Canis lupus familiaris: one gene and its partner. The protein of the gene in region 1 interacts with the protein of each later gene in a pairwise test. Links are inferred from orthologs where the notes say so. Each region holds a gene or a part of one and is shown on either strand. Other genes may lie near its edges.

Region 1 (3,990 bases):
ATGGGCAGAGGGCAGCTGAGACAAGGGAAGTGGACACACGTGAAACAGGATCCATTAGAAAGATGGCAGTGTCCTGACCAATCACATCTTAAAGCTAGTTCTGCCAACGTGGGTTGTAAAGCAGGTCTATATTCTCTGTGAACCCAAAGGTACAGACAGGAAAAGAGCCTACCACTCATTTAAAGGCATTCTCACCTCATTTCAGGTATATGGCTTTGAGGCAAGGACCACCTGGGCTCTAATTCTTATAGAGGGGGGAGCTAAGCAGGCAACATAACTAAAATCTCTAGTATCTTTCTAAATGCCACTTAATAGGGGACTATGCTTTCTTCATTTTTTTCAGGATTTTAAAAATTATTATTTTATTTAAATTCAAGTTGCCTACATATAACACACAGTGCTTATCTCATGTGTCTTTCTCCATTTTTACTCATCACGTTTTTCTTTTATCACGTTTCTTAATGGAATGCCATACTGAAGGCAAATTTGAAGTAAATGTTACAGGCTGAATAAGGAGTATTACTAGACCAGTACCAAAGTGGAACTGCAAAAGCAGCAGGCAGGACTCCTAATGCTTTAAAGAGGTATAGGAAAACAAAGGAATCTGGTTAACTCAGGCCCCAGGGAATGTGCCAGATGCTACTGACTTGCCACAGTTCTCCTGCCCCCTCAACTGCTTTCTGCCCAACTACTGGATGTCAGTGCTTATACCCATACCACAGCTATTACCCAGGGATGGTGAAAGGATGAATATGTAATCTCTTCAGAAAGTTAAACTACGTAAGAGCTGAGTTGTTCTGATAAGGTCATACTCACAGGAATGTTGCCAGCAGTAGCCCCCGCTCCAAATCTGGCACCTGCATCATACCCTCCTTCCACCAGCACTGCTGAACCAGGTGGATAGATGGGACCAACTGGATAATAAGCCATGGGGATTGTGGAACCTAAAGGTCCAACAGCCACAGATTGGGCCATGGGAAGATACAGTGAGGCGCCAGGAAATGCAGCTGACATGGTGGGGACCGTGGCAGCCCCCGGATGCACGAAGCTCGGACGATAGAGCTAGAAGAGAAGGCAACAGGTTACTTTATGACATTCCGATTTTAGATCCCTTCTACGCTCAATTCTTAATTGTCCTTGTGCAGATTACACTCTTGAGTTACACAAACTGCCTTTCCACTGCCACTCAGTACCCTCCTGCATCACTTCCTGCCATAGCTAACGTGAGGCTCAAGGAACGCAAGCTCATCTTCTTAACCTCACCCGGTGCCAAAAAAAAAAAAAAAAAAAAAACATGAAACAATCAGATGATGCAGTCTCAACCCCAACAGAAATTGCGCTGAAGTGTACAGTGTTTCAGACTATTCACGTGAGCCCTCCCTTCTCCTATTTACGGACACTGAATAGATATGCGTGGACTCAGGCTTATTAGCTAAGGACTGAAGATGTGACCCAAGAGCACTGGGTTCAAGTCTAGTAAACTGGAAGCACCTCTGAGTAGGCAGGTGGAGCATCAGTATAGGGTGGAGCCTGAGGGAGATGCAAGGTCTGAGGGTACACTGGGTTCCCAGGAGGCTGCACGGGATAGGTTGGCTGCGTTGGATATTGACCTGGAAGACAAGAAAGAAAAAAAGAAAAAAAAAGGAAAGAAAAAGAAAATGCATGTTGCCTACCACACAGAGCCACCAAAATGGGGCAGAGCATCCTGGGTAGCTGCCCTAGGGGCAGCAAGCTGGAGATGTGTAGACAGACCGCTCTGGGTGGTGGGGTGGGGGTGGGGGCTGATTTCTGGGGCCGAGAGAATATTCTCTTCGCACCCTTATCCCTACTCCTACCGGGGCAGTCCTCCCACTGGCACACCCGAGCTTCTCCATCGATGCAGGGCAGGTGTGGGGCCCCGTTCCTGCCCGTGCCCAACGGCAGGGACGCGCTGCCCCGGCTCCGGGTGGTCGCCACAGGCCTGGCTGGACCGAGCCGCGACCTCGTTGGGTCACGGAGGTTGCGGGTTATTTGCCCCGCCGCTTCCTACTCAAGGTCGCCTTCCGAATACAGCGCGCGATGGACGTGAGCCCTCGGGACCCGAGGGAGGATAACGGGAACCGTCCTGAGGCACAGCGGAGGACCGTGTGGGGCCCGACGCCGGCACAGTCCCAGGAGCCGGGGGCACTTCGGGCGGCCGCGCGAGGCACGCGGAGGGAGACCCCTCCGCCGCCCCCGGGCCCCCGGGCCCCGGGGCCCGCCCGCCGGCGCCGCACTGGTTAAGCCCGGGCGCCGGCCTCTGGTTCCGGAGCGCGAAGCCCCGCCCCCGCCGGCGCGCCATTGGCCGACCCGCATCCCTGCTCTAGCTCCCCATTTGCTCCCGCAGATGCCCATCATGACAAGCCTCCCCCCTGCACCCCCCCGCCCCTCCACCCGAGCCCGCAGCTCCAAACTGCGCCACAGAGTTTAAGGAGGAAAGGGCCGGGAAGCAGCGAGCAGCCGCAGTTCGGGGATGACGAAGGCGTCTGGCGCGGCCCCCGGGGCCGCAGCCGGCCGGGGAGGGAGGCGCAGCGCGCCCCAAGCCTCCGCTTGGCGACCCCGGGCTCCGGGCCCGCTCGCTCCAGGCTAGCACTGTCCCCCCGACGGCCCCGGCCGCCCCCTGCCCTTGCCTTTGCTGTTCATGGTGGCTGCGGGTCCGGTTCGGCTCGGCGTCGCGGACGGTTATTTTTTTCGTCCTCTTCCTGTTCGTAGTCACTTCCGTGTCACGTGACGGCCCGTCCGCCTCGCGTCACCCGACGCCCGAGCGCCGCCGCCACCGGAAGCCCCGCCCCTCCCGCGCGGCGTCCAGTAGCTGGAGGGCGGGCGCGCGTGGCCCCGCCCCCCCGGCGCGCGGCGGCCCCGCCCCTTGGGTCTCGCCCTCCCACCCCCACCCGCGTCCCACGACGGGAAGAAAACCGAATGCAGGTATTGTCTCCAAACACGGTTGTTGGCTTTTTTTTTTTTGGTTTTGCCTTTGTTTTTTCCGCCCCCCCCCCTCCTCTCTCTCTCTCTCTCTGGGGCGCTCGGGGGCAGAGCCGCTGAAGCCGCTCCCCGGAACCTGCTTCCACCTCTGCGCAGCAGCTCAAGGTGACCTCACCTGCGGAGCGCGGCGGCCCCGGCCCCGGCCCCGGCCCCTGGACTGCGCGGGCTGGCGGCGCCGTCAGTGGGTCCTGGCCGCCTTGCCCGTCCCGCCGGCAGGTGCCCGCCTGCACTTGCGTCGCTGCCCCTCTGCCCGAGGGAGGCCCCGCGCAGGGCCCGGCCTGCCGCCTCCTGTAGCCTCCCTCTCTCTCCCTTCGTCCCTACCCTCACTGTCCTTAAGGGCAGGGGTGCCACCCTCTAAGGCAGCAGTGCCCCGGGCAACCTTCATTTTAAGATACGCCGCCTCTGCGCAAGTACAGAGATGGAGCTAAACAAGACCTTTTTTTTTTTTTTTAAGATTTTTGTTTATTTGTTAACCAGAGACACAGAGACCCAGGCAGAGGGAGAAGCAGGCTCCATGCAGGGAGCCCAACGTGGGACTCGATTCCAGGACCCTGGGGTCATGCCCTGGGCCGAAGGCGGACGCCCAACCGTTGAGCCACCTGGGCTGCCCCACAAGACATTTTTAAAAAAAATATTTTATTTATTTATTTGAGAGAGAGAGAGTGCACCGGCAGAGGGATGGGCAAAGGAGAGAGAGAAGCAGACTCTCCGCCGAGCAGGGAGCCCCATGCAGGGGCTGCACATCCCAGGACCCCGGGATCATGACCTGAGCCCAATGCAGACGTTTAACCTGCTGAGACACCCAGGCGCCCCCAGCACAAGATGTTCTTTTTTTTTTCTTTTTTTTTTTTTTTTTTTTTTATTTATCCATCAGAGAGAAAGAGGCTCCATGCAGAGAGACCAACGTGGGATTCAATCCCAGGCCTCCAGGATCTCGCCCTGGGCTGAAGGAGCCATCCAGCTGCCCAGAACACAATGTTCTTTTTTTTT
Region 2 (4,217 bases), on another chromosome or scaffold:
CCTGGGACTCCAGGATCAAGCCCTGGGCCAAAGGCAGGCACTAAACCGCTGAGCCACCCAGGGACCCCCCTAAATAAGATCTTTTTTAAAAAAAGATAACAAGTGTGTCATTCTGTACGAACTATCAGAAATAGGAGTTTAGGGATGCCCAAGTGGCTCAGTGGTTGAGCGCCTGCCTTTGGCTGGGGCATGATCCTGGATTCCCGGGTTCGAGTCCTGCATGGAGCCTGCTTCTCTGCCTGTGTCTCTGCCTCTCTCTGTCTCTCATGAATAAATAAATAAAATCTTAAAAAAAAATAGGAGTTCAAAAAGACGAGAATGTCGCATAAGTTGGAGCCCCGGGGTGACTGGTGACCGTGCTGGAGCACTTCCTTCTGTTGTTTCCCGTCATCCTCATGGTAAACAGAGTGGTTTATGATGACACCTCACTGGGCTCTTCGACCTCAGGAGCTCAGGGCACCTGACTAGGGACGCATGCACCCAGATACCAGCTCTGGAGACCCCTGGATGTGTGGCCGGCTCGAGGGCCGGTGGAATGCCTCGGCCCCCTGTTGCTGGCCATCTGCCTGGACTGTCTGTGACACAAGGGTGATCCTTGGGCATTTTGTCCTCAGGCATTTGACCAAGCAGTGACCAAGGACACATGCATGGCTGTTGGCTTCTTCCAGCGAGGTGTGGCCAACTTCCAGCTGGAGAGGTGAGCACAGGGATGCCTTGTTTCTTCTCTGACGCCCCTTTCTCTCTGCACAGTCCATTCTTGTACTCCCCCCGTGCTCTCCCTGTGGGTCACCCCCCCTTGCCAACCCTCTCCTGTATAGCCCCGGGGAAGTATGGGCAGGGTACAGTGCTCCTGCTGCAGAAGATGCAGGGCAGAGCCGCATGGTGAGCCTCATCTCTGCCGAGGTTCATGGAGCGCTTTCACGGACATCCCCTCCTCTGCTCCTCACCACATTGTTACTGTAGCAGGGATGGTGTGATCATACTCATTCTGCAGATGTGGACCCCGAAACAGGGCTGCAGGAATGGTGTGTCCCAGGACATGGAGCTGGTTGGGGTCCTCAATGCTCACCAGGGTTCTTTCTCCCGTGGTCCTTCCCAGAGAAGGAACCATTCTGCAGGATAGGCTCATCTTCCCACTCCCTCACCTAGCCCCTGGATGAGCCCCACAGATGGCCCCATGCCAGGCAGGCCGACTCTGGGGGCAGCCTCCTCCTCTCATGGAGCCAGGGGCCTGCCTAGGGGAGGCTGAGGAGCTTCCTTCCAGCAGGTCTGTGCAGAGGGAGGCCCCCAGGGGACATGGGTCCCGAGAAGCAGGAGGGAAATGCTCAGGGCACTCTATGCAGCCACGGTTGGGCAGACAGGGGCCCCAGGAAGGGCAGCGAGCCTTCCAGAAGGCAGAGCTGGATCAGAGCTAGCTTCACCTCACACCCCAGGCCGCCCGGTGCCCTCTGTAACCCCACAGCCATATCTGCATATTGATCCCTTGATACAATGGTAGAGACTTGAATGCCCACCATGTGCTAGGACCTGGGTGGCCACCACGGCCCCTAGCAGGTGTCCTGGAGCTGGGTGAGGGAGGCTGGGACAGGGCTTGGGCCCTTCCCCAATGGCCTCAGAGCCCCGCCCCCTGTTCCCCCACTGCCCACAGGTTCCAGGAGGCCCTGTCTGACTTCCGGCTGGCCCTGGCGCAGCTGAGGGGTAATGCGGCCATCGACTACACGCAGCTGGGCCTGCGCTTCAAGCTGAAGACCTGGGAGGTGAGCTTGCACAGACTTGCACAGGAAGCTGGCCTCCAAAGGTGGTGCCCCACTGCCCCTACGGGCCACGGTCCCACCCCGAGGAAGCTTAGGGACGGAGAGTTGGGAGACTGCCAGAAGGAGGGCCAGGGAGGGTCAGAGAGGCAGCAGGGAGTGGCAGATGGGGTCAGGAAGAAGCATGGCTTGACCATGGGCCCCTGGCAGGGGACAGGCAGGGAGCACCTCCACCTTGGGCTGTCCAGGCGGCTGACGCCAAAGGAGGGGAATGGAGAGGACACCCCCAGCACTCCCAGCAGTGCTGCCTAGGAGCCTTCTCCAGAGGACCTGTGCTTCAATAAACAGATGGCAGAAAGTCCTATCAGGGGGTTCTGCAGGCACCTGGGTTCCCTAGCCTACGGCACCCACCGCCAGAGGGCTGGGCGTGGGCAGTTGGCCTGGCAGTGACCACGCCCCGCAGAATCTCCAGGGTGGCCAGCTGGCCCTGGGAGTGTGCGTTGCTAGGCAGGCCACAGAGACCGCAGCGCGCGGAAGAACCGGTTGGTTCTGTTGACAAAGTCGAGCTGGGCAAGCACCTGCTACCCTCACAGCGGCTGTGGGGGGGTGCGGGTGTCTGCGGGGCCTCCTGGAGCACCAGGCAACTCAGCGTGTCCTGGTGTCCTTCCGGCCACAGCCGGAACCCGACCCTACCTGTCTGTCAGAACGTCTTCTCACGCGGGGGCGGGGGCGGGGGCGGGTGAGGAAGGGGACAGGCCCGAGCGGGGCTCCTGCGACAGCAGCGCGGACTCCTGCACCGGGCAGGACCGCGCGGTCGGTGGCGCAGAAGGGGGCGGAGGCGGACAGGACGCTCCCGGAGCTCCCAACCTACCCCTGATGCTCGGAGCAGAGAACCTACCTCTCCGGCTGCGGGTCTGGAGACCGAGGTCGGCCCGGCAGAGCCCCGCACCTGCTGACAGGCCGGATGCCAGTCCCCGGGCCCGCGGCTCCGCGGCGAGGCGGGCCCCCAGGGAGGCCGCGGGGTCTTTGCCGGGGGAGGGCGGGGCTGGAGGCGGGGCCAGGAGAGGCGGTTGGAGGCGGTGGGCGCGGGAGTGGGGCCAGGGGTGGGTCTGGGGCGGGGCTTGGGCGGGGCTTGGGGCGGGGTCTGGGGTGGAATCAGGGGCGGGGGCGGGGGGCCTGAAGCCGATCCGGGTGAGACCAGGGGGGCAGGAGCAGAAGAGCGAGCGAGGGAGAGGGCTGTGACCTCTCGTCCCCTCCCAGGTGCTCTTCAACGTGGGGGCGGCACAGTGCGCGCTGGGACTGTGGGCTGAGGCCGCTGGCAGCCTAGAGGAAGCCCTCTGCAAGGGGCCAGAGGGGGCCGGGGAAGACCTGCATGCTGCCCTGGCCCAAGTGCAGGTGAGGAGAGCAGGCCAGGCCCCCTTAGGGCACGTCCAGGGCTCCTATCTGTCCCAGCGCCCCCAGACCAACTGTATGAGCTGAAGAAGTCTCTAGAGGGAGGTGCTCCTGTGCCCAGCTGTGGGGGCTGGGGAAGTCTCTCAGGGTGTGAGAAGTGGGTGGGGGGTCCCTGAGGCCACAGCCCTGTCAAATACTCAGGTCTGCATTGGCTGGACCCCCTCCAGAAACAGGCTACCCTGCAGCTGCGGCAGGTCCCCAGGGGTGAGGTCTTTCGGCCTCACAGGCGGCATGTGGAGCACCTGGAACCCGTGGATTTCCTGGGCAAGGCCAAGGTAACCCCGGGTGCTCAGGGGTCAGCAGCAGCCAGGGGGGTGAGCTCAAAGGGTCCTTGTTGTTAGGGAGCCTTCGGTGGGTGGGTGGACAGTAGGCGCAGGGCCATCCCTAGGCCGCAGACATGCCTGAACTTCTGAGTCGGGGGCAGGGTCTCCATGTGGGCTTCAGATCCTGGGTTCTTAGAAGCAGCAGGCAGAACCCAGCAGAAGCTGGCTGCAGAGGGGCACCTAAGTGGTGCTGCCCCCCCAGCCACACCCTTCTGGCCTCAGCACCTCCCTGAGTCTCTGTGTTTCTGTGTCTCCCTGCATCTCTGCCCCAGAGAGTGGGATCGCAGGTAGGGCTGAGGTCAGCTGGCCAGGCAGCGTCACCAGAATCACAGCCCTGGGGGCAGGGGTGGGATACAGGGACCTGTGTACACAAAGGGAAGTTCGCCTGGGTTTCAAGCTGGTGGCCCTGGATTAGCCCCAGCCCCCCGAGGTCACCGCGGGCCAGTGTGCTGTGTGCCACCATGTACATGGCTGGTGAGGCTACATGCCCCACACACCTCGTCTTCATGACCTCTGCTGGCTGGGGCCAGGTGACTCCGAGCTGCATTAATGAATCAATTCAGAGTCTGCTTCTCACAGTACCAGGCATCTGAGAAATAAAGATATTTCAAAACTTGTATAAAAAGGAGGCTGAAACCATCTGCACATGTTGTCCTTCGTCAGACGTGTTCTTCCCACCGTCCTGGCCCCC

What was found.
Region 2: the proteins of DAZAP2 (region 1) and EXD3 interact in binary tests that used the Homo sapiens proteins (3 or more experiments, as listed by UniProt). The two-hybrid records come from large-scale screens. The link is inferred for Canis lupus familiaris from reciprocal best matches to the Homo sapiens genes DAZAP2 and EXD3.

The regions. Positions count from the first base shown.
Region 1 is NC_049248.1:43,029,782-43,033,771, reverse strand, and holds the start of DAZAP2 (DAZ-associated protein 2), read right to left. Parts: upstream 2,803-3,990; 5' UTR 2,662-2,802; coding exon 2,649-2,661; intron 1,611-2,648; coding exon 1,492-1,610; intron 1,063-1,491; coding exon 894-1,062; coding exon of another isoform or gene 817-893; intron 1-816. UniProt on the Homo sapiens protein: In unstressed cells, promotes SIAH1-mediated polyubiquitination and degradation of the serine/threonine-protein kinase HIPK2, probably by acting as a loading factor that potentiates complex formation between HIPK2 and ubiquitin ligase SIAH1.
Region 2 is NC_049230.1:48,293,997-48,298,213, reverse strand, and holds the start of EXD3 (exonuclease mut-7 homolog), read right to left. Parts: upstream 2,803-4,217; 5' UTR 2,730-2,802; coding exon of another isoform or gene 2,556-2,729; intron 2,396-2,555; exon of another isoform or gene 2,136-2,395; intron 1,758-2,135; coding exon of another isoform or gene 1,649-1,757; intron 698-1,648; coding exon of another isoform or gene 615-697; intron 1-614. Other genes in the region: NOXA1 (NADPH oxidase activator 1), read left to right, coding at 615-697, 1,649-1,757, 2,556-2,729, 3,012-3,146, 3,345-3,478. UniProt on the Homo sapiens protein: Possesses 3'-5' exoribonuclease activity. Required for 3'-end trimming of AGO1-bound miRNAs.